Elephas maximus indicus: one gene and its partners. Each later gene encodes a partner of the first gene's protein in a complex. Links are inferred from orthologs where the notes say so. Each region holds a gene or a part of one and is shown in the gene's direction. Other genes may lie near its edges.

Region 1 (7,426 bases):
GAAGAACACCAAAGACACAAGGAAAATATTAGCCCAAGAGACAGAAAGGGCCACATAAACCAGAGACTCCATCAGCCTGAGATGAGAAGAACTAGATGGTGCCATCTACCACCAGTGACCACCCTGACAAGAGCATAAGACAGAGAGTCCCTGATGGAGTAGGAGAAAAGCGGGGTGCAGAACTCAAATTCTAGTAAAAAAATCAGACTTAATGGTCTGACTGAGACTGCAGGGACTCCAGAAGACATGGCCCCTGGACTCTGTTAGCCCAGAACTGAAACTATTCCCAAAGTGAACTCTTCAGACAGAGATTAGACTGAACTATAAGACATAAATGGAAACCCTGGTGGCGCAGTGGTTAAGTGCTGCAGCTGCTAACCGAAGGGCTGGCAGTTTGAATCTGCCAGGCGCTCCTTGGAAACTCTATGGGGCAGGTCTACTCTGTCCTGTAGGGTCGCTACGAGTCGGAATTGATTCGACGGCACTGGCTTTGGGTATAAGACATAAAATGATACTCGTGAAGAGAGTGCTTCTTAGCCCAAGTAGACACATGAGACTAAATGGGTAGCTCCTGTCCGGAGGCGAAATGAGAGGGCAGAGAGGGACAGCAGCTGGTTGAATGGACACAGAAAATCCAAAGTAGAAAGAAGGAGTGTGCTGTCACGTTACTGGGAGAGCAAGTAGGGCCACATAACAATGTGTGTATAAACTTTTGTATGAGAAGCTAACTTGAACTATAAACTTTCACTTACAGCACAACTAAAAAAAAAAAAAAAAAGCCTTGACAATGCCAACAAACAGATGTAAAAGGGATGCTGGCATTAGAAAACCACCGCTTTGCAGCCAGCAAAAATGAGATCTGGTGAGGCTCATCGTGTTTGCTAAAGTCACTAAGTAACAGCGTGTGATGTGGAACAGGATACTTCCATGCTCTCCAAATACCTCCCCTTTAAACCCAAGGGGGAAGCAAAGGCAGCTGGCAGACATCGCCCTAATCAAGCATCACAGCTGGCACCACCTGCTTCAGGACCAACCAAAATCACATGCCTCCTGGTGTGATGTCCTTCGAGGGACATGACACCATTTGTGTGCATTCCCATCCATAATGCAGAACTTGAACCTAATCCCAAGGAAACAGACAAACCCAAAACTGGCCTGCTCTTCAAAGCATGAATGTCATGAAAGACAAAGACTGTGAAGAATTGTTCCAGATCACAGGGGATTCAAGAGGTGGGACAGCGAAGTGTAACATGCGATGCTGGACTGAGAACAAATGGCCATGAACAGCATTATTGGGACAAATTTCAATGTGAGTGGTAATTAAATAACAGTGTTATTAGCAATGAAGCCCTGGTGGTGCAGTGGTAAAGACCTCGGCTGCTAACCAAAAGGTCAGCAGTTCGAATCCATCAGGCACTCCTTGGAAACCCTATGGGGCAGTTTTACTCTGCTTATAGCGTTGCTTTGAGTCAGAATCAACTTGACAGCAACAGGTGATTGCATCAATGTTGGATTTCTGCAATTTGATAATTATACTATAGTTATATAAGAGAATATCCTTGTTCTTAAGGAAACACAATCTGAGGTGTTTAGGGATAAAGGGGCATGCGGGTCTATGATTAACTTCCAAATTACTTGAAAAAATAATGTGAGTATTTATATATAGATAAACATATAGAGGAGGAGAGACGCACAAAGCAAATGTGTTAAATGCTAACTGATGACTCTGGGTGACGAGTTTACGGGAGTTCTTCATACTATCATCGAAATTAAAAAGTTAATGATTAAAAACCATGCCTTCCCATGTAAACGGTGGAAACAAGCACCATCAATGGCATACCACTCACTCTCTGTGTGACCTCTCTGGCCTCAGTCTCCCCGTCTGTAAAACGATGCTAACAGTACCGTACCTACCTCAAGAGTCCTTGTGAGGACTGGATGAGTTATCATGCCTGAAGCCCTTCAAACAGTGCCTAGCACATCACCCAGGACTCTTTACTGTTATATATCATTGTCTCTTATTGAGTGGTTCATATGGGGTTCTCTTACCAGCTGCTGTCAAGTCAATTCCAACTCATGGTAACCCCGTGTGTGTCAGAGTAGAATTGCACTCCACAGGATCTTCATGGCTGATTTTTCTTAAGTCGATTACCAGGCCTTTCTTCCAAGGTGCCTCTGGGTGAACTTGAACCTTCAACCTTTTGGTTAGCGACCAAACACACTAACTGTCTGCATCACCCAGGGACTCCTTGGGGTTCTCTTAGAAGGTTTTATAATGTTGCCACGGCTTGAGGAATGATTCCCTTACTACCTCCTTAAAACCTCCTTAGACAGTGACAATGTGCTGGCTTAAGGTTGGTAGCCTGGCCTTAGGACCTGGTGTATTGCTCTATGTGTATCTGTTTGTATTGGTGAGCTGGTGGTTCTGTTGAGGAAGGAGAAAAGACATGGGTAATGATTATACTTCTATGGTGTCACCCTCCTTCAAATATCTTCAATGCTGGCACAGCAAGTGGCATGTAACTGGCCCTCAAAAAAGTGTGCTAAGTAGGTAGCTTGGGGCAAGTCCATCAGCCTCCCTGAGCTTTGGATGGGGATCATATTCCTTTGCCATGGCTCTGCCACATAAGATGTCTAATGGTGGCTGGTGTGTAGCTGCTCACAGGAAGGAGAGTCCACCTCAAATGTCCACGCTCTGTGCAGCTCACAGTCCCCCTCTCACTTCGTGTGGGGTCAGGTGGTCATCAGCCGGTCTTCAGAGCACGGAGGCCAGTGTCCACCTTCCCCAACCCCCTCCCCATCACCGAATACCTGGTACCCAGGTGCTCACCTGCCGTTTTATTCTCTCGGAATATCAGCGAGACACCCAGGCTGGCTGCATACTGCGTGAGCAAGTCCACGGCCTTGCCTGGGGGTGGGTTTTTGAGCTGCAGGCTCAGCTGCCCGGCTGCCTTCGGGAAGTCCCCGGCTGCCCCTGCGGGAGAAACAGAGACCCTTGGGGACGTCCCCATCCGTCCCCCAAAGCTCCCGTGCCCAGGCTGCCCTGCCCCCGCTCCGCCCCCAGTCCCAGCCCACCATCCTCTGCCGCTGAAGCCTGGGGCTGCCTGCCACCCTCATCGTCCTCCTTCACGCTGGGGCTGGGTGCGGGCTTCAAGGGATCTTGGCCCAGACTACTCGAGGGCCGCCAAGGGATGGGCCCGGGACTGATCTGCAACGACGCTGCCAGGCGGGGCTTCCTGCGAACACTGTCCGCGCTGGCCGGAGAGGCCATGTCTGAACCCGAGCTCCAGAAGGCGCACTGCGCCGGATCTCGCACTGAGCGAGCACTTTAACATACACCGGCAGCTCCCGCGTGGGCAGCACGCGGTTGGCAACGCATCTCGAGCCCCGCCCCTCTGCCCAACCAATGGAAAGGCTGGTCTCCCAGCAGGGCACCACAAGCTCCGCCCCTGCCACCCAGCCAATGAGAAGGTCTGTCTCCCGGGCAGCTGTAGGAGGGTGCGCACCGTGAGCCCCTCCCCTGCCTGTCCAGCCAATGGGAAGGTTGATCTTCTGGCCGCTGCCAGGCCAATGGGACGACAGTCTTGGCTGACCTCGGAATTCTCACTTCCGGGTGGGGCCTCTGGAATGGGCTGGGGTGTGGCTCTCCCAGCAGCCCCTTCTCGACCGTTGGGTTGTCCTAGGGATCAAAGACCAGGAAAGAGCGGCTGGCGGCCTTGGGGAGTTCATCCTTACATCCTGGCTGCTACCATAAACACCCCCCCAACACACCCCACCATACCACCCCTCCGTCAGCAGCTTAACCCTTCTGAGCCAGGGGTCCTCATCTGGTAAATGAAAAACCCACTGCTATGGAGTCAACTCCGACTCAGCGACCCTATAAGACAGAGTAGAGCTGCCCCATAGGGTTTCCGAGGCTGCAAATCTTTATGGGAACAAATTGCCATGCCTTTCTCCCACGAAGTGGCTGGTGAGTTTGAACCCCTGACTTTTTGGTTACCAGTGAGCTAATGACTGTGCCGCCAGGACTCCTCTGATGACTGAAGGTGCTTATAATTGTAACAGCCCCACGGGATCATTAGATCTAAAATTTAAAACTATTGTAGGTCTTCCTTAAGCTAGGAGTCCTTGGGTGGTGCAAACAGCAAATGAGGCCCAACAGTAGGTGCACAGTAAATGTATACTGAATTAATTAAATAGAATAACCATATCAAACATGAGTTTGGTAAAGCAGATGTGGGATTCGAACGCAGTTCTGACTGGCCTTCACTATTGGAACTTCAGGGTCCCCACCTCCCACGGTACTTCCTGCGCCCCATTCCCTCTCCACCCGGGAGGTGGCGCTCACCGACGCCCGTGAGGCCGAGCTGGGAGGCGGGACTTCCTGTTACCGAGGCGGCACTTCCGGCCAGTCCCGGAAAATTATTAATTCACGCTGTGGGCGCGGTCCCGTTGAACTCCCTGGCGCGTGGGTGCAAATTTTGGGCTCTCTCGCGGGACAGGGGTCAGGAGAGCGTTGCGCAGGGGCCCATTTCCCAGACGAGTACGCCGAGGCCAGGGCACGTAAGTGCGCGCACCGCCCAGACGGGAGGAGAGAGCGCTGCCCACTGGGCGGCGGGAGACCGGGACTTGGGTCCGACAGGAGAGCTCGAATTTACCCGGCGGGCGGGCGCTCAGGCCCCAAGTTGTGTGGCTTTGGGACAAGTCACTTAACTATCTGCGGAATGGGTGATTAGCAGCTGCCGGTAGCTCACGGAGTAGTGCAGATTCTACAAATTGTTAAGTGTCGTAGCAGCTGCCTGGCGCATGTAGCACTAGATATGAGGCCTCTGCTCTTGTCGGGTTGAAAATGTGGGGCCTGGAGGTGGAGTGGGAAGAGGTCGTCGAGGAGGCTGGATTAGGGATATGCGTGAGGACATGGTCGAGTAGGAGATGCACGAGGAGAGACCGTTAGTATCCCCTTTACCATTTTCTGCGACTTTCTTGCTGTTCCCGGTCTTGGATTCAGCCAGACCTGTCCTATTTCTTCAGCCTTGGACGTAGGAAGGGCATGGAAAGCTTAGAGGGAGGGCGGGAAGCCGGCCAGGGGTGGTCGAGGCTGCTTGCCCAGGCAAGTCCTGGATTCCACCAGCGCTCTCAGTTGGCTTGGGTTTTTTGAGGCTGTTTGATTCTTTTCTCTCATTCATTCATTCCTAGATTTGTTTCTACAACTTATATGTACTGATTGTTAAACCCATTGCTGTCAAGTCGATTCTGACTCATAGTGACCCTATAGCAGAGAGTAGAACTGCCCCTATAGGGTTTCCAAGGAGTAGCTGGTGAATTTGAGCTGCCGACCTTTTGGTTAGTAGCCTAGCCTTTAACCACTCTGCCACCAGGGATACGGACTGATTATTACCAAGTGGCAAATACCAAGGCACTGAGAATATATGCACTTCATTTATCACAAGACCTATTAGAGCAGAATCAAACAGCCTCCTCCTTATGTATTTAACCACAAATTGCTGTGAATGCCCTAGAGGAAGGGTACAAGGTGTTGTGGGAGAAGGGTAGGATTGGAGAAACTGGGAGAGGATTCCCTGAGTAGGAGATCATTGACTCCAAATCTGAGTGCTGGGACTCAGTCTAAGCAGAGGAACAGTGTGCAAAGGCCCTGTGGTGAGAAGAGGCACGGTGAAGAACCAAAAGTAGATCAGCGTGGCTGGAGCCCAGGGAACGGAGAAATGAGCTGGAGACATTTTCTGTCTGCTGGGTTATGGGGGATGCAGCCACCTTGGAGAGGCTTGGGTGCCCCTTGACCTACAGAAGCTAGAGCTTCTGTAAAGATCCTGTAAAAATTCACTGAGCACCTCCTAGATCCCTTCCTCTCTCCTCTCCTACATGGGAAAGAAAATCATAGCAGCAGCCAGACATCAGGGACTCAGGAATGAATGGACACAGTTCATGTCCTCAGAAAGTTTGCAGTCTAGTGGAGAGACAAGCCAGACACATAAATCACAATTAGGATGAGGCTGATACGTGCTCTGAGAAACATTCATTTAGCTGGCAAGTATTTATATAGAACCTACTATGTGATAGGCAGTGTGTGGTGCTGAGAGTACCTGGATGTGCAGAGGTTACAGCATAAACTGATAAAACGCAATGGTGGTTCCAAGGGAAAAGATTTCTGCTTACTGGACTCTAATGTGAACGTTTGGTTTTGGATGCACAAGGATGCAGTGGTTCAGAGCACAGACTTTGACTCGCATGGGGGATCAAGCCTTGACTCTGGCACTATGAGCTGTTGACCTTGGATAAGTTACTGTCTAACATGCCTCAGTTTCCTGAACTCCACAATAGGGCCAATAGAAAGAAGTGTGAAGCTTATAATGCCATGTCTGGAGATGTGGGGCTCAGTAAGTGAGCACTGCCGTCCTTTTGCGTTTAATAAAAGAGGCAGGGGTGACCTAGCTGCTCTTCGTATTCTAGAGCACTTTGTATTCCCAAAACCCTTTGACATAAATTTATCTTTCTTCAACATAGTCAATCAGTGTGTTTTCTGGGAGGCCCTGTGCTTGACAGTGGGAAGATAGGTGGACAAGACTAAGTCCCTGGCTTTGGGGGAACTTGAGCCAAGCCTTGGGAGTTAGGGCTGCAAACTGCGTAATCATATCATAATGCAGGCTGATAAGAGCTGTGATAGAAACATCCCTCGCCGCTTGTTGGATGGGCATCCCTTAACGCTCTCCTCACGTGATCTGTTTTCACTACATGCCTCCTCGTTTCTCAAACTTGCCGAGCACTTTTCCGCCCAGGGCTTTTGCACTCGCTGTTTGTTTTCTTCGCAGTTGTCTGCGTGGCTCTTTCCCTCGTTAGATTCTAGCTTTGCTCGCCCAGCACCTCCTCAATGAGGCTGTCTTTGGTACCATTGCTAAAACCGCAGCTTCAGCCCATTGCTGTCTCCCCACTTGTGGTTGGCTGGTTTGTCTTAACGTGGCACTCATTGCTACCCAGTGTTAGGCTACGTATTCGTTTGTTTTTATTATCGGTGTCCCTAAAGAAAGCGGACTCCTATTAGGGCACTGTCACTCTCCCAGGAGCCCTGGAAGCCATTGTTGAATTCTAGTCTTGGGGAGGCCAGCGTGACTTGTGGTTCTTGTTTTCCAGGATGGACTTCCCCAGCTCTCTCCGCCCCACGCTGTTTATGAGCGGCCCCCTTGGTCTGAGCAGTGTCCCCAATCTGTCCTTTATGTGCAGCTGGAGAGATGCACTGACCCTGCCAGAGTCCCAGCCCCAGAGTGCTGAGGTAAGGATGACAGGAAGGAGCCCCGGCAGCTCCAGGGCGGGCCCCTTGGTCCCTCTTTTATTGCCCTCACACCACCTGGCAGGGGTGCAGAATGGGGTGGCATTAGCACAAATCAGCAAAGACACAGGCTGAGCCACAATC
Region 2 (7,865 bases), on another chromosome or scaffold:
GATGCCCCCAAAGAGGGAGAGGAACTTGCTGAGCAAGGCGGCACACATGCTCGCGATATGCACAAAAGGGCCCTGGGGGAGGGGGCAGATGGTGAGTGGAGTAGAGGCCCACCTTGGCCTGGCTATTCTCCCACTGGGGAGGGGCTCCATTATCCCCCAGCCTGCAGTCACCTCTTTGCCGAGTGGCATGCCACTGCCCAGGGCACAGGTCAGCCCGATGACCTTGGCTACAAACGTCTTGAGAGTGAGGTATTCCTTCAGCACCACTCCCCGCAAGATGGTCTTCATCTCGGGGATGCCAGACCCTGGAGAGGTACATCCCCAGGAGAGTCATCTGAGGTGTTCTTTTCAGGGGTCCCCCTCTGCCCTCCCCTTCTCTCCTATTGTACCGACAGCCTGAGGAGCCAGGATCTGTGTAAATCCTGCTGAGAAAGTGATCAGGACGATGGGGTAGGTGACCCAGGCCAGGTACTGGAGCAAGATGTTGGTGTTCAAGCCCCGGGACATCCACTGCTGAGCTGTGGAAAGAAGACATGCTGCTGGGCTCCCGATGCCCACCCTTGCCGGGGCACTGGGACATGTGAAGAGTTGTCCCAGGGAATATCAGACAGAGCCTGGGCTCAGGCAGTGGGAAGGGGCCCTAGAGGGCACTCACTGGGACAAAGACCAGTATAGGAAGGAGGCTCAGTGAGAGAAGGAAGTGGTCAATGGCCAAGTGGCTAAGACACCTGGACAAGTGTGGCATAGCGGAAGCAGGGTGGCCCCTGCCAGTTCTTGTCCTCACCTTGCAGACAGGCAGCAATAGCATAGTCCATGATCCAGCTGACCAGTGCCATAAGGAGTCCCAGCAGGACCAGGAAGATCCAGTCTTCACCGACCCTGGACACCAGGAACTTGTGGCAGCGGACGGAGCAGACTGGGAGCAGGAAAGGGAAGGGTGAGAGGCTGGAACCAAGGGGCGCCTACCCTTCTAACCTACCTTGCCCATGGGTGGCTCTAATGGCGTCCACCTCTTCCAGCCCAGCCCAGCCCAGCCCAGCCCAGCCCAACTGGTTCTCACTGCGGCACCCAGTGCAACGGTTCTGTCCATATTCCAGGAGTTCTGGGGAAGTCCGAGGGGAGGAGGGGCCCCTCCGGGGCTCAGGCCCTCCCAAGCGGATCCGAGCAGCTTCTTCTTTGGCAAAGGCCCCAAGGTCCTGAGTGTATCGGCCATACATCTGGAGCAATGGAGAAGGTGGGACATTAGCAGATGTGGGCTGTGTGGGGAGTGATCCTGGGGCCTCACATCCCCTCTTCCCAGCCTCCACATTGCATAGCTCCTCTTGAGCCCACAGTTCCCACTCTGGCTTGAGGTGTGGGAACAATGCACACTCAGGCTGTGAGGGCTGTCTTGGCTGGAGCGATGGGGACAGCCAAGGTACACAGCTCTGGGGGTGGCAGAATAATCAGTCCCCTTCTCACAGGCCTTGGGGGTGGGGCACTTTGGGGGAGTAGGAGGGAAGGCCCCAGAGGAGGAAAAGACTGAAAAACCTAAGGCACAGAGTCTGAAAGTGGGAGGAGGGAAGGTCAGGGAATAAGGGATGGTCAAGGGCTTAAGGTCAACGATAACGGCCTCATGGAGCTGGGGGCAGCTCAGAGTTGGGCCTAGGAACATGCGGGGCCCCAATCCTTATCACGTTCTTGCTGGGCCTCTGGCCTGTGACTGACTCTGCTGCACCCTCCCACCCCCCTTAATCCCCTTGTCCCTATTCCCCACCCCAACCCCCACCAGCCTGTCAGCCAGCTGCTCTCAGGATGGGTGGAGAGTGTTTGGTGGCCTCAGCCCCATTCTGGAGCTGCCCTGAGCCCAGTGGCGGTTTGGGGGACACCAGAGCTGCTGGTGGCTGGGCTGTTACTGGATGCTGGGGCGATGGGACAGGACAAGGGAAAGTCGGAGAGTTGCCGCGCCAGAGCCATGGCTAGACCTGCCAAACTAGGCATGTGTCGGGGGGGTGGGGAGGAGTAGATTCTGGCAGCCACTCGCCCAGCTTCGGGACACAAAGGGCTCCTGTTGGGGCTGGGGTGGGGAGGGGAGAGGGAGGGAAAGATAGAGACAGAGAGGGTGAGAGACAGAGAGCTAGGAGAGGAAGGCGAAGCACACAGCAAAGAAAGAGGAGAAAGCAGGAAAAGAAAGGTGAGAAGAAGGGATGGAGAAGAGAAAGGAGACAGGAATGGGGAGGAAGCACGGAGGAGAACAGAGAGAAAGCTGCTCATAAAGAGGCAGATAGAGTAGGAGGTGGGAATCAGTATGTGAGAGAAAGACAAAGGAATCAGGAGCAGAAGGGGGAGAGGCTGGAGAGAGAATACCCGGGGAGAGCATTTGACCCTCAGCGCTAGCTCATTCCAGAGGTGGAGGGGGGGAAGCCTGAGGAGGTGGAGACGTGGCTGGAGACAGACTCCATTTCAGAAGCAGGTGCCCAGTTGGCCTCCGCCTTGACCACTGTCCCTATCAGCCTGAGCAGATTGAAACCTCTTGCCCTATCCCGACGTCTCATTCCCTTCCCCTCACTCCAGCACCACTCCTGCCACCTCCCCCTGCCATCCTGTTTTATATAGTGACTCTCCTAACTGGGCACCTCCCAGCCTGAGTTACAGCCTAGCCCCCCTTCTCCCTGAGATGTTCCCTTCCTGCCACCTTCCTGGGCAAATTCCAGGCCAAGCAGATGAAGAGACTATTGCCTTCCCTGGGGCTTGGTCCCCTGCCCCAGTGACAATGAGAGGCAAATGCCTTCTCACACACTAAATGACAGTGGAGGCCATGAGTCAGCTCAGAGCCCCAGGACCCCTGCTTCTAATGAGGTCAAGGGACACCCTGGGGGAAGGTGGGGACTGGATACCTAGAGTCAGCATGGACAAAAGTCCCAATTCCCAGACCCAAAGCGCCTGTCCCCCAAGGTGGCAGGCCACCTTTTTTTTTTTCTTTTTCCAGAGTGGGCAGAAGGGTTCCTGCTAATGCTGGTTTGCAAAGCCTCAGGGGTAGGGCTGGGGCTGGGTTTGGGTCTGATTATGTCCCAACACCCCCTTGTCTCTGTCACCGTGCCATGCACATAGTGGGAACACAAGGGCTGTCTTGGACAGTGGGGACACTGGGAGAGAAAGTTCAAGCGTGTGAGTGGTCATGAGGGGCGGAGTGAAGGCGCTGAGGCTTGGGCTTAGGTGGTGAGGGGAAGGAGGAAGAAAACGTGTGTGTCTGTGTGTGTGTCGTGAAAGAAAGGCACCTGGGACAAGTACCTGGTATCCTTGTCTTCTTCAGGCCCCCAGCCTCGGCCAGAAACCTGCAAGCAGCTTTCGGCCCCTTTGGCCCTTCAGCTTCTTAGACCCCCGAGCCTCAGTTTCCCCAGCTGAGAAGGTTGGGTGGGGTTCAGGTAGGCCCCGCTCCCAGCGCTTCCGAGGGTAACGTGGAGCCGCGGTCCTGGAGCGCACGCTCGTGGCCGGGCACCGCTTCACTCACCAGGGTCTGCTCGTACTGCAGCGCCCGCGGCTCCATCCCTGCCTCTGCCGCCACCGCCCCGGCCGCCATCTCCGCGCACTGCCCTCTCGTCTGCCGCTGAAGCTCGGGCTCCGGCCGGCACTCGGCTCCTGGTCCGCAGAGCTCGCTCCGGACCCGGACCCGGACCCGGCCCGCAGCCCGAGCTGCCGAGCGCAGAGTGCAGCAGGTCCCGAGCGGGCGCCGTGAGCGCAGCCTCCCGCTCTTGTACTCTCCCCGGCGGGCGGGCCGAGGGCGGTGTTCTCTGCGCGCTCCGCCCGCCCGCCCATCCTGAGGGGCCGGCCCAGCCCGGCCGGGGTCTGCTTTGGGGCCACTTCCAGGCTCCGAGAGGCGGCAGGGGGCGCTGGGGCCTAGCGAGAACGCGTCCCCTTCCCGCCGAGGCCGGGGACAGAGACGGCGCCCGGGGCCACGGCGGGGGCGGGTCCGTTGGCCTGTGGAGAGGCCGGCGGGGTACGCTGCTCCTTGGGCCAGGGACGCCGGAGCTCAGTCGAGCTCGGGGTCCGGGGCTGCAGAGCCGTCTAAATCGGACTCTTGGGGCTCAACTCTTTTCTCTGGAGCGGCACCCTCTCTCTCCTCGGTAGGGGCAAGCGGCTGAGACGGGCCGGGAGCGGCCTCTCTGCGCCGCCGGGGGTGAGAGCAAAGCTGCGGGGACTCGGAGAGGAATTCTGGGCCCAGAAGGGGCGGGGACAGGAGGATGCTAGTTGCTGAGACCCTCGGTCTCTTTTTCCCTTCCTCCGGGCTTCCCCAGGGAGGTGCACCTGGAGGAACCTGGCCTGGGGTTGTGCGGGGGTGGAGGTGGGGAGGGGAGAGGCGAGGCCCGAGGGAAGGGAGGTCTGGGCGCCTGAGAGGCCACTCCTGGGAGGCGGGCGTGTAGGGGCAGAGGTTGCTTCTCCTTGGCAGGGCCCAAGGAGAAATCCGAGTTGCTGCTGATGTCTCGCTGCCACGGGGGAACGGCTTGCTGGGGCTCTGCGTTCCCTATCAGAGTTCGGGGAAGGATAGGGCAGAGGGTGGGGTGAGCACAGACTGGATGGGCAGCGTCAGGGGTAGGGTAGCTAGAGCGGAGACGGCAGTGCCCAGGAAACGGGCAGAGATAGTGTGCGTGTGTGTGTGGTGAAGGGGCACGTGGAGGCAGAGGCGGTTCGCGGGGGGAGGGGGCACTGCCCAGGAAACTGGAAGAGCTGGTATCTGAAGGGGTGGCCAGTGCCAGAATGAGTGTCCAGAGGGACAGGGCAGTGGTGGAGGAATGGGCAGTACCAGGCTGCGGGGGCTAGTGCCAGGCTGAGGCGGGGTGTAGGGAAGGGAGCAGGGCCCAGGGAACAAGGGCCGTGGGGGGCGGACGCTGTGCCGGAGGAGAGGGCACGGCGGGCTTTCCTCTTCCCCATAGTGACATCTTGGCAAATTCCCAAAATGGACGGATCCGGCTCGGGTGACATCCAGCAGGGCCAAGCCGGCCTGGGGCCGGGGGGCCTCAGGGCCAGCTGGAGTGGCTGGGCACTGCGCCCTGCCCCGCTCCTACGCTGAGGCCGGGGCTCTGCTCTGCCCGTCCCAGCCCGGACTGTGTCCTCGGCGGGCACGCGGACCGAAAGGGTAGGGCTAGGGCCGGGCTTCTCTGGGCCAAGGATCAAGGTCCTAGCCTGGGATAGGCCCCATGCATTACATTCTTGAGGACCCCGCCTCTGAAGAGGGCGCATTGGAGCCCCTGAGCGCGAGAATCCGTGCCACTTCGACCGGAGGCGGGATCTATTGCGTTCCCGCCCAGGGGCGGAATCACCTGGACCCGAGACCCGCCCTCAGTACAGAAGCGTCTCGGCTGCAATCACTCGGGGCGGAAGTTAACATACCCCGAGAGGGAGGTGGCGGAAGTGGGGCCGGTACTGCAAGCCCTTGCGCGTGTGCTGTCCCGCTACCTCCCGGCCGCTCTCTGGGCGCTCTCCCTTTGCCTTGGCTTCTAACCCACGCGAGGGGTTGTGTGTATTCCCCCCCGCCGTCTCGGTCGCGCGCTCAGCACCCTTCAGCGCCCCCCTCACTATGGCAGGCATCCTGTTTGAAGATATTTTCGATGTGAAAGACATTGACCCAGAGGGGAAGAAATTTGACCGAGGTACGTAAGGTCTGTAGGGGCGGTTTGGGGGAAAGGGGTCACGCCTCCGGGCCCCACGTCGTCCAGCTTACGTGGCCTGCCCCTACCTGCAGGCCCTGATGTTGGGACCTCCTTCAGGAAACGTTTATAGACGAGAAGACTGAGACTTGGAGCTTTCCCTGTTTCACACATGCTGTGCCCAGTGGCTGGGTGGCTTTTTGTCCTGGTCCTGGCAAACTCCGGGGCGTCTTTCGTAATAACAGTCGCCACCTACTCCGTAAGACACGACTGTGCACCCTACACACCCCTTGTCTTAATTGCTCCTCTCAACAGTCCCCATGAGGTGTGGGATGCCTTCCCCGTTTTGCTCTGAGAGGTTCAGTAGCCCGCCCAAGGCTGAACAGCGAATGATCTGACGTCAGAGCCTGTAATTTTGTATTGCCTTTGGAGATCCTGGAGGTCCAGTGGGTAAGAGCTACAGCTGTTAACCAAAAGTTCGGCAGTTGGAATCCACCGTATACACTCCTTGGAAACCCTTTGGAGCAGTTCTACTCGGTCCTATAGGGTCGCTATGAGTTGGAATGGACTCAAGGGCAAAGCTTTTTTTTTTTTTTTTAACTCTTTAAGAAGCAGTCTCTGAGTTAGGATTAACTCACGTTAATTCTTTATTCTGTCATTGATCAATAATCGTTTCTCCCCCATGTCCCTTCCTTTGCCTGGAGACTGAGATGTGCTTTCAGGCAGATACTGGTTCTTAAACATCCTGATAAGCCCCTCAATGTAAGGCTTAGCACAGAAAGACTAAACTTTTGGGTGGTTGTTTCTTGCTAAAACAAACAAGCAAACAAAAAAAACCATTGCCCTGGTGTGGATTCTGACTCATAGTGACCCTGTAGGACAGAGTAGAACTGCCCCATTGAGTTTCCAAGGTGCTGCTGGTGGATTTGAACTGCAGACCTTTAACCTGGATATTATTCCCTACCAGAGTACCTTTCTGGTTTTCTCTCCCCCCCCCTTTTTTTTTAGTAATACTTTATTTTATATTTGATGATGGTTTACACAGTTTACTACATTCCCATTTGACAATTTCTATATAAATTGTTCCGTGATGTTAGTCATGTTTGGGCATTCTGTTCCCTTGAAACGGTTTTCCTTTTTGCATATGTAGTTCTGATTGAGTTTGCCCTTATATAAGCGTAGGTGAGAGACTGGTAGATGCAGGCTGGTTAGATTGAGTGTTCTGTTACGTGTAATCCCCAAAGCGAGGTCTGCCCTGGACCTGGCAGTTCCCTTTGCCACTCTTTCTCTCTTCCTGCCAGTGTCTCGACTGCATTGTGAGAGTGAATCATTCAAGATGGATCTCATCTTAGACGTGAACATTCAGATTTACCCCGTCGACTTGGGTACGTGCCGAACACAGACCATAGCAAGGGGCTTTTTGCCATTTCACTTGTCTTCACCTTCAGATGTTGCCATTATTTTCAGGTGACAAGTTCCGGTTGGTCATAGCCAGTACCTTGTATGAAGACGGTACACTGGATGATGGTGAATACAACCCCACAGATGACCGGCCTTCCAGGTGAGAGTGGAGGAGAGAATGCTTGAAATATACGTGGAAGACTTAAGCAGAGAAGCGGTATAGAAAGATTCTTATTTAATTATTGGAATAAGTGATTATTAACAGAATCTGAGTAATAAGGAATGTGCTACACTTAATTAATTCAGACAACTGGGCATTTGTCGACAGGCATGATTACAAGCTTCTGAGTTGCAGTTCTTTGAAGGCCCAGGGACTAACCACTGAGTGACCTAGGTTATGTGGACCTTGTGTCTTGGGAGGGAGCTTGGTGTGTGGCAAGGCTTTGGAGCGCCACTGAGTTCAAATTTCAGCTCCACCTCTAATTTGCTGAGTAACCTCCTTGAGCCTGAGTTTTCTCATCAGTAAAATAGAGATGGTCAGGTCCAGGTCATAATGTTGCCAAGGACTAGACGGCATCGTAGTTGTAAAGGGCCTGTTTTTAAAATACTGGCACTTACTTACCAGTTGCCATTTTTAAAGGGCCTTTTGTTGTTCATTACTGTCCATTAAGAATAACTGCCACTGTTATTCCACAGGGCTGACCAATTCGAGTATGTAATGTATGGGAAGGTGTATAGGATTGAGGGCGATGAAACTTCTACGGAAGCAGCAACACGCCTGTAAGTTCTGTGGTCTCGTGAGAATCCTTTTTCCCCCCTCCCTGTTCTGAGAAGTGGGGC
Region 3 (7,507 bases), on another chromosome or scaffold:
AATGTGGTGAGTAGTGTCTGGGGTCCTATAAGCTTGTGAGTGGCCATCTAAGATACAATTTTTGGTCTCTACTTGTTTAGAACAAAAGAGAAAAAAGGAAACCAAAGACTCAGAGAACAAAGCAGTCTACACAAACCATGGCCTCATCTTTCATGAGACCAGAAGAATTAGATGGTGCCCGGCTACCAGTAATGATCATTCTGATCAGGGCCACAATAGATGGACCCTGATAGAACTGGAGAAAATTGTGGAACAGAACTCAAATTCTTAAAAAGTCTAGATTCACTGGACCAGTTGACACTAGAGGACTTCCTGAGACGATCACCCTGAGATAGTCTTTAATCCTTAAACCAAAGTTAACCCTATAGGTCACCTTTTAGCTAAATAACAGATTGACTTCTAAAATAAAGGACATCACCTGTGAGTAATGAACTCCTTTAAAAAAAAAACTAAATGGTGAAAAATTACACTAAAGCAAAGATGAGAAGTTAAGGGGGCAGGGAAACTAGACTACTCAAAATGGTATAACCAGAATGAGAACGATGATACATTGTAAAAAAATGTAACCAATATCCCTGAATAATGTGTATAGAAATGGGAACCTAACTTGCTGTGTAAACTTTCACCTTGAACACAATAAAATATTATTTAAAAATACAGATAGGCTATTTAAATACTTTACATGTACATAAAATTCTTACAAAGTCATTCATTCATTCAACAAAGGTTTATTAAAAATCATGTGAGCTAAGCAATGTTATAGACCCTGGGCATACAACGATAAATAAAAAGACAGAAGTCCCTGATCTCAAGGAGCTTATAGTCTAGACCAATACATTAATTTCTGTTCAGTTTAATATTTATCACTCTCCCTATTCCACAAACAGCCAGTCCAATATTTCAACATTTTAAATCAGGGCTGGCCTTGAAAATAGGAGGCTTACAACTGAAAATTTTTACATGGCAAAACTTAATGCTTGGCAGGTGGATAACATTTTTTGGAAGGAGTTTGAAGCTGTACAGAATCAAGCCTTGGTGAATGACATGGGTGATGCAACTGCAAAGGAGAATTTATCTAGTTTCACTTTAAAATAGGAGACCTGGGGCATAGTGGTTAAGAGCTCAGCTGCTAACCAAAAGGTTGGCAGTTCAAATCCACCAGCCACTCCTTGGAAACCCTGATGGGGCAGTTCTACCCTGTCCTGTAGGGTCGCTAAGAGTTGGAATGGACTCCACAGCAATGGGTGGTCTTTTTTTATATTAAAATAAGGAGTCAGTCCCACTGGACTAGGTGTTTCTTGAGGGCAGTGAATTTGTCTTGTTTACCTTTCATTCCCTAAGAGCTGGAAGAGTGTTTGGCATATGCTGGGTGTTTAATGAATCTTTGTGAAATAAATGAATTGACAAGTGAATGTGAAGTGAGAGAAGAGCCACTCCGTTGACTTATAACTTTAAATATCATCTGGTCAGAGATAAGGTCCTTGAGTGCTGAAAACGGTTTGTGTTTGACTACCAGTGGAAGGGCTGGCAGTTTGAACGTGCCCAATAGGGCTGCTGAGGAAAGGCCTGGCAATCTGCTTCTGTAAAGATTCCAGAAACCAAAACCCATTGCCATTGAGCTGATTCCGATTCATAGCAACCCTCTATGACAGAGCAGAACTACCCTATAGGGTTTCCAAGGCTTTGAATTTTTATGGAAATAGACTGCCACATCTTTCTCCCACAGAGTGGCTGGTGGGTTCAAACCACTGACCTTTCAGTTAGCAGCTAAGCACTTAACCAACCACTGTGCCACCAAGGCCCCTTTCTGTAAAGACTACAGCCCAAAAAAAAAAAAAAAAAAAAACCCATGGAGCTCAGTTCTACTTTGTAACACACGGAGTCCCCATGAGTCAGAATTGACTCGATGGCAACAGATTTGCTTTTTTTGGTTTAGTCAGAAATAACTCCCAAATGTATATCTCCAACCCAAAACTTAAGGAGTTCCTGGGTGGTGCAAATAGTTAAGTACTCAACTACTAGCTGAAAGTTTGGTGGTTCGAACCTACCCAGAGGCACCTCAGAAGACAGGCCTGGTGATCTCCTTCTGAAGGGTCACAGCCTTAAAAACACCGTGGAGCAGTTCCACTTTGGACACATGGGGTCACCATGAGTTGGAACTGACTTGACAACAACTAGCAACAATCCAAAACTTTCCTCCGAATCCTAAACTCCTATGTCCAATTGCCTTCTCACTCTACCTGGATGTCTTATAAGCATCTCTAACTTAAAACTGCCAAAATCAAATTCCTTATTCCTCCCCTATCCTACTCCCAAACTATTGCAACCACAATCCATCCCAACTCAGTTGATGATGGCTCCACCCTTCTAGCTGGTAAAGTCAAAAATCTTAAAGTCATCCTTGCCTCTTTTCTTTCTCTCACAGCCCACTTCCAGGCCATCAGAATATCCTGTTGGTTTTACTTTCAAAGTACTATCTGTCCATAATCTGTCTACTTCTCACTGTCTCCACTGCTTCCATCTTGTTCATGCTACTATTATATCTTACCTGGACTGTTGCAATAGTCAGCTAACTTCTCTCTCCACCCCTTCCTTTGCCCTGCCCTCCTCCCCAGCACTCTATTTTTCCCACAACAGCCAGAGTGATTAAACATAAGTCAGATCATGTGACTCCTCCAATGACTTCCCTAAGTTTTCCATATAAAAGTTGAAGACCTTACGAAGGCATTGTTTTCGACACTCCCTTTAGCTCACCAATCCAGCCATTCACTGACCTTCTTCATGATCCTTAAACGACATGACACAAGGCTCAGGACTCAGGGCCTTGGTACTCACTGCTACCTCTGCCTTGGAACACTGTTCTCAACATGGCTCTTCCTCCCTTGTCTCAAATATTACCTTTTCGGTGAGATCTTTCTTGACTACCCCATTTAAAATTGAAACTACCTATCTGTCAGTTTTAGTACTATGGTAGCTCCTGTGTTGCTGTGATAATGGAAGCTATCCCACTAGTCTTTCAAATACCAGCAGGGTCACTCATAGTGGGCAGGTTCAGCAGAGCTTGCAGACTAAGACAGACTTGGAAGAAAGGCCTGCTGATCTACTTCTGAAAAACCGGCCAATGAATACAGTATGGATCACAACAGAACATTGTTTGACTCACTTGTGTGGACATGTCACCGGGAGGGATCAATCGCTGGAGGGGGATATCACGTTTGGTGAAGTAGAGGGTCAGGGATGACGCAGGACCAGCAGCTTTTCCTTCTGTTGTACGTTAAGTTGTCAGAGTCGACTCCCTGCAGTTATCTATCTTAGCACTCCCATTCTCCTTTCCTGCTTTATCGTTCTTCTTGGCACTCACCACCTTTTAACATATCATATATTTTTTTCTTATTTATTTTTTTCTCTCCCCACAAGAATATAATCTATGAAGGCAGGGACTTTTGTTTTTTTCCTTCACTGCTAAATCCCCAGGTCCTAAAACAGTGCCTGTTGAATGAAAGAACTGAATGAATAAATCAAGGAATAAATGTGTTCAATGTATGAACAATAATCGCTGAACGTATTGAGCTCTTACTATGGCTCAGTTATAAGGGATTCACAGGCAACATCTAATTTTTGCAGAGGAGGAAACTGAGAAACAAGCAGAAAAGATGTGATTAGAAACGCAGGTCTGACTCAGCAACCTGTGTTCTTTCTTTTCTTCCAAATCCCGATGCCTGTGAATAAGAAAGACAAGAAGAATTGACGCAGTTCAGTTACGGTTTTGGCGAGTAATATTGAATATACCATGAACTGCCCGAAGAATGAACAAATCCGTCTTGGAAGAAGTATAGCCAGACTGTTCGTTAGAAGCAAGGATGGTGAGACTTGTCTCGGGTACTTTGAACATGTTACCAAGCGGGATCAGTCCCTGGAGATAGACATCATGCTTGGTCAAGTAGAGGGTCAGCGAAAAACAGGAAGACCCTCGGTGAGGTGGATTGACACAGTGGCTGCAACAATGAGCTTTAGAAGCATAATAGCAATTGTGAGTATGGCGCAGGACCCAAGAGTGTTTCGTTCTGTTGTACACAGGGTGGCTATGACTTGGAACCAACTCGACGGCACCTAACGCTGTACACACTCCTGTGCCAGTAAGAGGTGGAGAAAGCCAGTCGTGGAACTCAAACGGTTCGAGTCCATGTTCTGGAACGTGGCACCCCACTGCCTCCCTTGGCAGCCTGAATAAATCAGTGGGTCTTGGAGTGAAAGGCCGTCAAAACAAAGCATGACTGAATTAGTTCAGCAGTAGGCACCGCTCAGTTTCTTACTGGTTCATACCAAGCCTAGGTCAAGGGGTGCTCTCAAATGGGGGCTTTGGGTTCCTTCCTTCCGGAGCGAACAGGGGTTTCACCTGGGCCGAAGGCGCCGGAATCCAATGTCAGGGGGTTCTGTTTCCGGCCGGAGGGCTCCTCTCGTGGCTCCCGGAAGCTGCGCTCGCTGCCGGGGTAACGGGCCTTTGCGGCGGGGGCGGCGGCCGTAGGGGCAGGAGCGGAGCAGTTATGGACCTAGACGAGGCGGTAAGGAGGCCGTTGTAGCCAATAGGCTACGGAAAGCTGGGGGAGGAGGGGAGTGAGGCTGAGGAGAAGGGGTTGGAGGACGCTGACTAGCTGTGAGGGAAGCCGTTGGAAGAAGGAGGGCGGATTGGAAGGATGCAGAACGGGGAAACGGGATGGGGTTGACCGGCAGTCCCGGGGAGCGTTCGTGCGCGTTTTTGGAAAAAGGCTGGAGTGTCTGGCTTGGTGAGGTTGTGGGTGAAGGGAGGGCGGTGTGCTTGTCGATGTGGGTGTATTACGGAGGAGGGCGAAGTTGTGGGTTTTGCGAGGTGGCCACCCACTGGCTCCTCTTCGCCCGACGGGACCACCCCCAAGCTCCCTCTGATGCTGGGATGGGTGAGGGCGGGGCAGCGGATGGAACCAGAATGCACCCAGGTAACCCCGGCCGGTCCCTCTGGGACTCCTGCCACAGCCTGGTGCCGTGACTCCAAATTCTAGTTTTGGAACACCCCAAGGTCATGACAGTTGAAAACGTTATCAAGTTGTTAAAATAAATTTTGCGTTCATTTTTGACCTGCTACATAAAATGCAGCAACTTTTTAAGGGTATTACGGGAGGATGAGGGAATTAAACCAAACCAAACCCGTTGCCGTCGAGTCGATTCCGACTCATAGCAACTGTATAGGACAGAGTAGAACTGCCCCATGGAGTTGCCAAGGGACAGCTGGTGGATTTGAACTGCTGACCTTTTGGTCAGCAGCCGAGATCTTAACCACTGAGCCACCAGGGCTACATTTAGATAAAGGATATTAAGTCAAACACCAAAGACATTGGGAATAAGTAATTTAGTGTCAGAGAATTAGGCCTAAGGGAAACCCTGGTGGCTTAGTGGTTAAGTGCTACGGCTGCTAACCAAACGGTTGGCAGTTCAAATCCGCCAGGCGCTTCTTGGAAACTCTATGGAGCAGTTCTACTTTGTCCTATGGGGTCGCTATGAGTCGGAATCGACATGATGGCACTGGGTTTGGTTTTTTGGTTTGGATGTACCCAAGCAGTACGGTGATGTTGTTAGGTGCCGTTGAGTCGCTTCCGACTCATGGTGATCCCTGTGCACAACAGAAGGAAACACTGGCTGGTCCTGCACCATCCTCACAATTGTTACGCCTTCATCGCAGTAGATGTGCAATAACTGTTCTGTAAATGCTAGATTAAGAAAATTAATTATTATAACTCATCAATGGCCTGTTATACTCTAAGTAGGGATCACATCTGTTTTGCTCACCGACTCCCCAGCACCTAGTAAAATACTGGCACATACGTAGCTGGTACTCATTATGTTGCTGAATAATACATCAGAACTTGAAGTACCCTAATAAACACCTAGCTCCTTTGTGGTGGGTATGTGTTTGTAGTGTCCTGGAGGAAGTTCCCAATGATATGCTACTTCTGTTTTTGAAGTCTTCTCTATACTTAATTTTTGTCTTCTTTTTTCTTACAGCATTTTCGGGAAGTTGTATTTACTTTTCTCTTTGTTTCCAATTTTACTCCTACCACCTTTTCTTCTTTTTTCCCTCACGGCCAAGTTTAGAAAATTTTCCCTAATAGTTTAAAGTGGTTCCATACTGATCAAGAGACTGAACCGTTATTGTACTTATTTGCAAATAATCTATATTCTGTGATAATGACAGGGAATACTCTAAGCAGAAATACAAGGTTTAGGTACAATGTATTGAATGTGGTTTGAGAGTAACACCTCTTTTATCCTCCTCTCCTCTAGAAAGAGTTCAAAGAACGCTGTACTCAGTGTGCTGCCGTCTCTTGGGGTCTTACTGATGAAGGCAAATATTATTGTACTTCTTGCCACAATGTTACAGAAGTAAGTAATAGATATAATTTTTGAATTTATGTTTTAAAAATACATTTTCAACCTAATAGTAGCATAATCCCCAAAGAATTGATGTATTTTTCTCACTCATGCAATGTCACAGTTCCAAGAATGTAAAGTCTTCAAGTGCTTACAAATAGGTTAAGGAATTTGTAAATTAGACTTAAGATGAGTTTTTGAAATTATGGTGAGCCACATTTAAAATTGATTTCCTGATTTAAACTGTGGTTTAAGGGGAAATAATTAAAATTGGACTTAGAAGACGATGCATTTCTTTATATTAGTTAATACTTATTTAAGAGTTTTTAACGTGCCAAGATAGTGTAGAGGTTTGGGGCAGGGGATGCATTAGAAAAATTGAAAACCGTTGAGAGTATTGGAAATTATGCTTCGTTATCATTTTACCTTTGTACAGTACTTCACAGATTACAAAATGTTTTCTTATCCATTATATCATTTCCACCTTGTAATAACCTGTGAGATACACTGTTATGCCTATCCATAGATGGGGCAAGTAGGCCTCACAGGGGTTGAGTGCGTTTGCCAAAATCACACAAGTATAATGTGTCTGAGCCAGGACTTGAATCTGAGTCGTTTGACTCCAGTGTTCTTTTAACCCCAGCATACCTGCCTCTTAATATAGAAATTGTCACACTGGTCTGTGTAACCTTGGTAAAATGAGGCTACTTTTACGCTGGAAGTGCTAGGTCCTTTTCTGATTACCACACGTTAAGGGCAATAGAACCAAAATAATCATGTGTGGACAACCTGCTGTTGGACAGACTAAACATGCCAGCACTCTTCAGACTGCACAGAGCCATGATGGAACACGTGTAACAAATATTGCCATCGCTAAGTGGGCTTATGAAAGGCAAATTTGGAATAAGACTTCTGCTTCTGGCCAAAATGGAGTAACAGGGACCAGATTTACCTGCTGTCTTACTTTCCTGGTGCGGCTGTAACACAGATACCACAAGTGGGTGGCCTTAAAGAATAGAATTTTATTTTCTCACAGTTCTGGAGGCTAACAGTCCAAGTCAGGGTCCCCAGCCATGCTGATCCCATCTTTGTCAGTATCCCAGGA
Region 4 (7,530 bases), on another chromosome or scaffold:
TATCGTTGATTGTCACAATGGGGGCATGCTATAGGTTTGTTTTTTTCGGTTTTATCTAGAGTTTAAGGCAGAGGGTTGGTGAAAGCGGAAGAAGTAAACTTCATTTAGTTGGCCAAGGAAAGGAACACACTGGGACCAAGATGGCTCCTGAACAGGCATAGGGGTTTATATGGGGAGGAAACAGAGTAGGGGTGGCCTTTTCTTCAGGGCATGTTCAGGGGCTTGGTCCATCAGGATTGGTAGCCAGCTCCGGTGATGATCCCGATGTCATGGGGTCGTTGCAGTCTCACTGGGCCTTGAAGGAGGGAAGTGGTGGTTTAGCTCCTCCCATCTGCCATCCTGCCACTGCCTGCCTCATACCAGCAACTAGTGGGTAGAAGCCAGAGATGGTGCTAAACACGCTACAGTGCCCAGAACAGCCCCACAACTAAGACTTATTGGGTCCAAAAAATATCAATAGTGCTGATGCTGAGAAACCCTTGGACTAAAGTGTTAGCAAGGAAGGTGTTAGCAAGATCAGCTAATGTTTCAAAACTAGAAAGAGAGAGAGAGGTGCTGCTTCAGACATTAGACATCTGGGAAGTTTGAGATTCTATCTGATATCTAGGAAAGGCGCTGGGTAGAGAGCTAAATACTATATACTTACCTGGAGCCCCAGTGGCACAGTGGATAAGAGCTTGGCTGCAAACCAAAAGGTCAGCAGTTTGAATCCACCAGTCGCTTCTTGGAAACCCTTTGGGGCAGCTCTACTGTGGAGTTGGAATTGACTCGAAAGCAATGGGTTTGGTTTTTTTGGTTTTATCTGGAGTTCAAGGCAGAGGGTGGGACTCCAACGGCATAGGAGGGGCTGATAACCTCATTAGGGAGTGAAGGAAGCAAGAGAAGAGAAAAAGGCTAGGGCTGAGCCTAGAGACACTGCAGTATTCAAAGGTCAGGAAGGCAGTGGAGACTAGAAGGCAGTAGGAGAAAAACCAGGATAGAGTGCTGTTTTGTAAGAAAGTGAAGAAAGCGTTCAAGAAGGAAGGAATGGTTAACTGAATTAAATGCTGCTGAAAGGTCAAGATGGAGGTCACTTGTAAAGAGCAGTCCAAGTGGAACGGTGAGGTGGGGTGGATTGAAGGGTGTGGGGGAGGTGACAAAGGATGGGTGAGGAGACAATGAGGGTGGTTGACCCTTTAAAGATTTTTGTTGTGTTCTTTTTTTGTTGAGTTCTTTTTTGCTTTTTTTAAAGGTAAGGACCCTGGGTGGTACAAGTGGTATGAGTCCGACTACTAACCAAAATGTTGGTGGTTCAAACTCACCCAGTGGCACCTCGAAAGAAAGGCCTGGTGATCTTCCATAAAGATTACAGCCAAGAAAACCCTATGGAACTTAGTTCTACTCTTTAACACTTGGGATTGCCATGAGTCGGAATGGACTCAACAGCCGCAGGTTTACATATGCTATGGGAATGATTGCTCCTGCCATAATCCCCTGGTTCACCTGCCCTCTGGGAGTCCCTAAGTAGGAGAGTGGGGATGAAGGAGGGGCAGGAGGACACTTTTGGGAGTGGTGGATAAGTTCATTATCTTAATTGTGGTGATGGCTTCATGAGCATATATGTATGTCAGAACTTATCAACTTGTTAGGTGTCATCGAGTAGCTTCCAATTCATGGCGACTGTGGAAAGCAGGCTTAAGAGACATGTTGGGACATGTCTGGACAAGTGTGGCTGTCATCTTCAGTTCAGTCTATAATGAGGGGAGCAGGCCCAAGAGATAAAAAGACATTGTGAGCTTGACTAAGGAAGATAGTCATATCAGGATAACCAGAGAGACTGACAGACTTCATCAAGAAGAAACCCACATAATGGCATCAGACTTTATCATCATCAACCAGATGAGTTCAAAGAGCTCCAACGTGTACAAAAGAAGCAACAGAAGGAGACGACAGTGCTTGGAGCCTTCCCAGAGCCACTCAGTCATACGCTGAGAATTTAGGAAGCAGTGGGCTGCGTCACCTCGCCCGGGCTTACTCCTAAATTCAAGAGATGTTGCTCTCGGTCATACATTGAGAACTAGGCAGCAGTGGGCTGCGGCAGCTCACCTGTGCTTGCTCCTAGCTCAAGAGACGTTGAACGGAACGGTCACCAAGCAGTGGGTAGCGGCAGCTGGTTCGGGCTTACTTGCAGACCTTCCTGCTACAAGGTTCATGAGCCCACAGGGAGCTACGCATGATCCAGAGACCACCGCTAACCATTAAGACTGGAGATCATCACCAACCATTGAACGGCATCATTGAACTGCACCATCTAATTGCTGTCCTCGCTTGCCGTAAGTTTGACCTGTGTCTTTCATTTCTCCCCTCCTTTGGTTATCGGAAACCCTGGCGGTATAGTGGTTAAGGCTACAGCTGCTAACCAAAGGGTCGGCAGTTCGAATCTGCCAGGCACTCCTTGGAAACTATATGGGGCAGTTCTACCCTGTCCTATAGGGTTGCTATGAGTTGGAATCGACTCAATAGCACTGGGTCTGGTTTTTTGGTTTTTGGTGATCTGAGATCTCTGGCGTCTGGGATAGCCAAGAACCTACTAATGTGTGTTTGTGCTTAATGAATTGAAGAAATTAATGTAAGACCTAAAAAAAACTGTTTAATAAAGACATTGTGGAAAGACACAAATAGTGTGGAGTAGTCTATAAGACTCTTCCTCACCACAGCGACCCTATCTACAACAGAACAAAACGCTGCCCAGTGCTGCCTGGTCCTGCACCATCATCACAATCATTGTTATACTTGAGCCCGCTGTTGCAGCCACTGTGTCAATCATCTCACTGAGGGTCTTCCTCTTTTTCACTGACCCGCTACTTTACCAAGCATGTCCTCCGGGGACTGATCCCTCCTGATAACATGTCTGATATACGTGAGATGTAGTCTCACCATCCTTGCTTCTAAGGAGCAACTACCCTGTTGTCGAGTCAATTCCGACTCATACTGACCCTACAGGACAGAATAGAACTGCCCCACAGAGTTCCCAAGGAGCGCCTGGTGGATTCAAACTGCCGACCTTCTGGTTGGCAGTCAGTGCTCTTAACCACTACACCACCAGGGTTTCCAAAGAGCAACTAGTACACTTTAAATATGTGCAGTTTATTGCATGGCATTATACTTCAAAAACATTTTTTTTAAGGCACCCACAAAACGATGAAGTTGAAAGACATCTGCTAGCATTCCCTGATAGATCCATATTCTGGTGAGATAAATGATTCATACAGATTCAAAAGATCTTAAGGCTGGAAGTCCCCTTGGTGGCCCCCTCCCCACTTTTTCCCTGTAAGGGTTCCCTGCCCACTCCACCCTACCCCACCCTACCCCACCCCACCCCAGCACTCTGGTCCAGGTGATGGTGATACAGATAGGATTAACTGTGCTCGTGGAACAAAAGAGCTGCTAAAAGATTACCAGCTAGAAGTTGGGTAAACAGGAACCACACCCTGTCAACATGAGAAAAGGCTGAAACGACCCAGGAATTACTATCTCCTTCTTAGTGTTTTTTCTAGTCCCTTCCCCCTTTACAGCCTTCCACATGCACAGAACAAAGTGTGACGGCTGTTTAACCTTCCTTATCCCTCCAAAGATGGTGATGTAGTGCCAAAGATCAGTGTGCTTGCCCTATATCCCATAGTAAGTGATGCCAAGGGCTGCCGAGAGGAATCCATCTTGAATATCAGCAGGTACCATTTGGTTTCCAGATGTGCACAGGCAACCTAAGCGCAATCTAATTAACATGCACAGTCATTCTGGGAAGTACCCAACCCTTGAAAGAAGCCCACTAAATATTCATTACTCTATTGTCTCCACCAAACCCATACAAGACCTTGATTGCCTTTTCGAGTCAGTCTGTTAGAGAGGCTTAGATCCTCACTGACTCCCTTTGCTTGACTCAAGCAAAATAAAGCTTGCTGAAAATAAAGTTTGTCTTTCACCTGTATTCTTACTCGGGAAAAGACAAGGACCCTTTGTGTCAGATTGGCAATTGGTAACAGCGGGAGAGGATTGCATGGGCCACCACTGCTCACCGGCCCCCACTGATGGGCCTTCACGACCTAATTTGGGCAGGGAGAGCAGTCAGCCTGCGGAACCACTAATACCTGCCTTTTGGATGAAGCCAAGACACCAACTGGGTGTCGCCCCTGGGTCATAATAATCAGCATCGGTTCAAAAAGCAGACAGGGGAATAGAAGGGAATATTTGAAGACTGCTCTTCTAAGTCCCAATTTGACTGAGGGAGCGAATGAGAGCCAGAGGGTTCCCAGGCCTAATTGGGCGTGGAGCAATTGTCCACCTCCTTGTCTTTAGCAGGGAAGACATGGGTGGGGCAGCGGAAGAGAGGAGAAGAGAAGGGGCGGTCAGGCCACGCTCTAGCTCTGTGAGTTTTAAACCGGCCCCTTCACTCTGCGGTTTTAGTTCCAAGTCGACCCAGCAGAGGTAGAGCCGAGAGCGGACGGAGCACGGAAGAACTACATTTCCCAGCAGGCCGCGGGAGCCGGCCATTCTTCCTGGCGCCCGCAGAGCGGCCCCTGGAGCTCGGCGTGCAGGCGGACGGACACATGGAGCCCGGCGGCCGGTGGCAGAACCTGCCTAGCGGGCCTAGCCTAAAGCACCTGACCGACCCCGCTTACGCGATCCCACGGGAACAGCAAAAGCCAGCGTTGCAGGAGCTGACGCGGGCCCATGTTGAGTCCTTCAACTACGCGGTGCGAGAAGGACTCAGCCATGCAGTGCAGGTGAGCGCGGCGTCCCCCTCGCCGCTTGCCGTTACGAGGTGAAGCTGGAGGTGGGCTGAGAGAAGGGCCGGCGGGCTGGGAGGGAGCGAGGCGCTGCGGCTGGAAGGCGGCGGGCCTGGAGCGCGGGGTGCGGTGGGGTGCGGCGGGTGCGGGTGGGTGCGGGTGGGGCGTGGCGGATGCGGATGGGTGCGTGAGGCGTCCAGCCTGCTGCCGGGGGTCGAGGGCGGCGGGCCGGGCCGGGCCGGGCCGGGCCGGGCCAGCGGTTCCGGAGAAATGGCCGCGAGGTCACCATGTAATCACAAATATGAGCCCCTTGATCGGTTCCCCAGGGAACGCCAGAGAGCAAAACAATGTAAAACGGACGCAGTCCTTTGCCTCGTAAGACCTGGAGCCGAGTCGAGTAGGGAAAAGTGCATTTGTGATTGCTGGGTTTATATGGGATTGCAGACTGTGGTGTTTTGAAAGATTGTGGGTGTTGTGAGAGTGAGGAAGTGACCCGTCTGGGCTTCCCAGCCGTTCTCAACGCTAACTTCTTGGTGTTCCGCGAAGACTTACTTCCAAAGGTTCCGAAACTAGTCGTAGACAGACTGTGAAGTCAGTATACGGTCGTTCTTCAGGTTTTCTCTCAGAGCTTTAAAGAGAAACTACGAGGCACCTGCTCGGATTTGGCAGGTGTTGAGAAAGATGTAAATGAGCCATAAAGGCAAGATTTCTTCTGACCTGTCCAAGAAAATGGGACGTACTTTTGAGTAGAAAGTGTAGTAATAGCTCTCTTAGGTAGCATAGGTGTAACCAGAGTTCAGGTGAGGATGTTGCGGGAAGGTCTCACTGAATTACCATCCCAGTGTCTCCAGGTCCTAGGCCACATAAGAAGAAGGTGGACATGAAAGCCCTCGGGGCCAATACTCTTAACTGCCCTGGCAAGGGGTAGTGTAAGGAACTGTGGCCAGCATAGAAGGTACAGCAAATCTAGGCGTTTGAGGTTAAAGGAAGAGGAGAATGCTTCCCTCCAGGGACGTGAAGGAGCAGAGCCAGCTACTCGGGGAACACTGAACAGGTTGGACTTGTGTTGTCAGGAAAAGGATGGAGAGAATGTGGAGGTCTCTGATTGCCAGTTTCTGATACTTGAACTCTGTTCTGCAAATAATGTGGGAGCCATTAAGGTTTCTTTGAAGATTAAGGCTCCTTAGCCTTTTTGAGGAAGACAATGGGAAATATTTCTGTCGTGCCTGAACTCTTACTGTATCTTGTCTGTGAGAAAATTTTATATATATATATATAGTTAACAATTAGCAGTCTGTGGGTGGCACACATGGTTAAGCGCTCAACTACTAGCCTTAAGGTTGGTGATTTGAAACCACTCAGAGCCACCTGGGAAGACAGTCCTGGCAATCTGCTTCTGAAAGGATCAAACAAACAAAACCAAACCCATTGCTAACAAGTCGATTCCAAACCCCCGTGGAGCAGTTCTATTCTGCACATGTAGGGTCGCCTGGAGTCAAAATCAACGGTTGTATCCAGCCTCTTAGAAGTGCATTCCTGACTTCTGTGAGTCAGAGAGCTGGTAATCTGTTGCGCTGTCTATTCAGCATCTCTAGAGATCGCTAGTGCAGCTGTGGCTTGAGAAAGTGAATCTTTTCTCCCTTCTTTAACAGTCCACCCTTAAGTATGAAATCTATTACAAAATTTATTTTAGAATAAAGTATTCTAAAATAACACCAGCCTTCGATAAAACTTAAAAATTTTGGAAAGTTTTCAAAATTTTTAAATAGACAACAAAAGTGTACTACTTGTATTTCCAAGTCGGCACAAGATCATTCATAATTTCAAAACAACAATTTATTGGATGATAATGAAGTTGCAGAGATTATTGTGAGTACAGCCCAAGGTAACTAGTAAGAGCATGGTAACTTGAGTTAATCTCTGGAAATGCATGTGTTTATGCCTTAAACTCTTTACCTTAGAAAATTTTAGAAATGAGAATACACAAACACACATGCTACTAGCTGCCAGAACGCTGACATCATTACACTTCACGTAGCCTCTGGAAAACTCCACTGTGCTTACATGAGAGAATGCGTGTGAAAAAGACAAATAATGTCCTAGGATTACTATGCAAATAGCTTGGACCTCATGGGCACCCTGAAAGGGTCAGAATACATTTTGAAATCTACTGGTATAAAGAATTAAAAAAAAAAACTCATAGCAACCCTGTAGGACAGAGTAGAACTGCCCCATGGGGTTTTCAAGGAGCAGTTGATGGCAGTGGGTTAATGGGTATCTTAATTATTCTTGTATATCCATGTCTAGAGTAGCATCTCCTACTTGGTGACTGGTAAATTGAACTCACTCGAGGGTGGAGGACCCCCTTTGTATTCTTGGCTCAGTTTTCAGCATTTTCATTATTCTGACATTAAGGCCAGGAAGTTGTTCATACTTAATAGAAAAAACTAAAAGTAAAAGTCATAAACTGAGTCTTAACCTGAACTTGTCTCTGCCAAGTGGATAGAATAAATGGATTGTTGTGTGCTGTCAGGTCGATTCTGACTCATAGCCTCCCTATATGACAGGGTAGAACTGCCCCGTTGGGTTTTCTAGGCTGTAATCTTTACGGAAACAGATTGCCAGGCCTTTTCTCCCCCAGAGAAGCTGGTGATTCAAACTGCCAACCTTTCAGTTACCAGCCGAGCGCTTAACCATTACACCACCAGGGCTTCTTATAAATGGATTAAACCCACTGCCGCTGAGTCGATTCTGACTCATCGGG

Evidence for each region. Proteins that work in one complex are often made in the same cells at the same time.
Region 2: TAF1C (region 1) and POLR2H share a complex: the UniProt entries of both Homo sapiens proteins name them as parts of the pol I pre-initiation complex. The link is inferred for Elephas maximus indicus from reciprocal best matches to the Homo sapiens genes TAF1C and POLR2H.
Region 3: TAF1C (region 1) and TAF1B share a complex: the UniProt entries of both Homo sapiens proteins name them as parts of the transcription factor SL1/TIF-IB complex. The link is inferred for Elephas maximus indicus from reciprocal best matches to the Homo sapiens genes TAF1C and TAF1B.
Region 4: TAF1C (region 1) and POLR1B share a complex: the UniProt entries of both Homo sapiens proteins name them as parts of the pol I pre-initiation complex. The link is inferred for Elephas maximus indicus from reciprocal best matches to the Homo sapiens genes TAF1C and POLR1B.

Annotation. Positions count from the first base shown.
Region 1 is NC_064839.1:50,141,690-50,149,115, reverse strand, and holds the start of TAF1C (TATA box-binding protein-associated factor RNA polymerase I subunit C), read left to right. Parts: upstream 1-4,421; 5' UTR 4,422-4,563; intron 4,564-7,146; 5' UTR 7,147-7,147; coding exon 7,148-7,285; intron 7,286-7,426. UniProt on the Homo sapiens protein: Component of the transcription factor SL1/TIF-IB complex, which is involved in the assembly of the PIC (pre-initiation complex) during RNA polymerase I-dependent transcription.
Region 2 is NC_064819.1:30,728,472-30,736,336, reverse strand, and holds the start of POLR2H (DNA-directed RNA polymerases I, II, and III subunit RPABC3), read left to right. Parts: upstream 1-4,852; 5' UTR 4,853-5,554; coding exon 5,555-5,627; intron 5,628-6,925; coding exon 6,926-7,009; intron 7,010-7,091; coding exon 7,092-7,185; intron 7,186-7,721; coding exon 7,722-7,805; intron 7,806-7,865. Other genes in the region: CLCN2 (chloride channel protein 2), read right to left, coding at 1-72, 172-305, 390-518, 785-916, 1,061-1,217, 3,491-3,559. UniProt on the Homo sapiens protein: DNA-dependent RNA polymerase catalyzes the transcription of DNA into RNA using the four ribonucleoside triphosphates as substrates.
Region 3 is NC_064830.1:19,313,915-19,321,421, forward strand, and holds the start of TAF1B (TATA box-binding protein-associated factor RNA polymerase I subunit B), read left to right. Parts: upstream 1-4,494; 5' UTR 4,495-4,544; coding exon 4,545-4,562; intron 4,563-6,315; coding exon 6,316-6,414; intron 6,415-7,507. UniProt on the Homo sapiens protein: Component of RNA polymerase I core factor complex that acts as a GTF2B/TFIIB-like factor and plays a key role in multiple steps during transcription initiation such as pre-initiation complex (PIC) assembly and postpolymerase recruitment events in polymerase I (Pol I) transcription.
Region 4 is NC_064835.1:41,808,809-41,816,338, forward strand, and holds the start of POLR1B (DNA-directed RNA polymerase I subunit RPA2), read left to right. Parts: upstream 1-4,517; 5' UTR 4,518-4,586; coding exon 4,587-4,763; intron 4,764-7,530. UniProt on the Homo sapiens protein: Catalytic core component of RNA polymerase I (Pol I), a DNA-dependent RNA polymerase which synthesizes ribosomal RNA precursors using the four ribonucleoside triphosphates as substrates.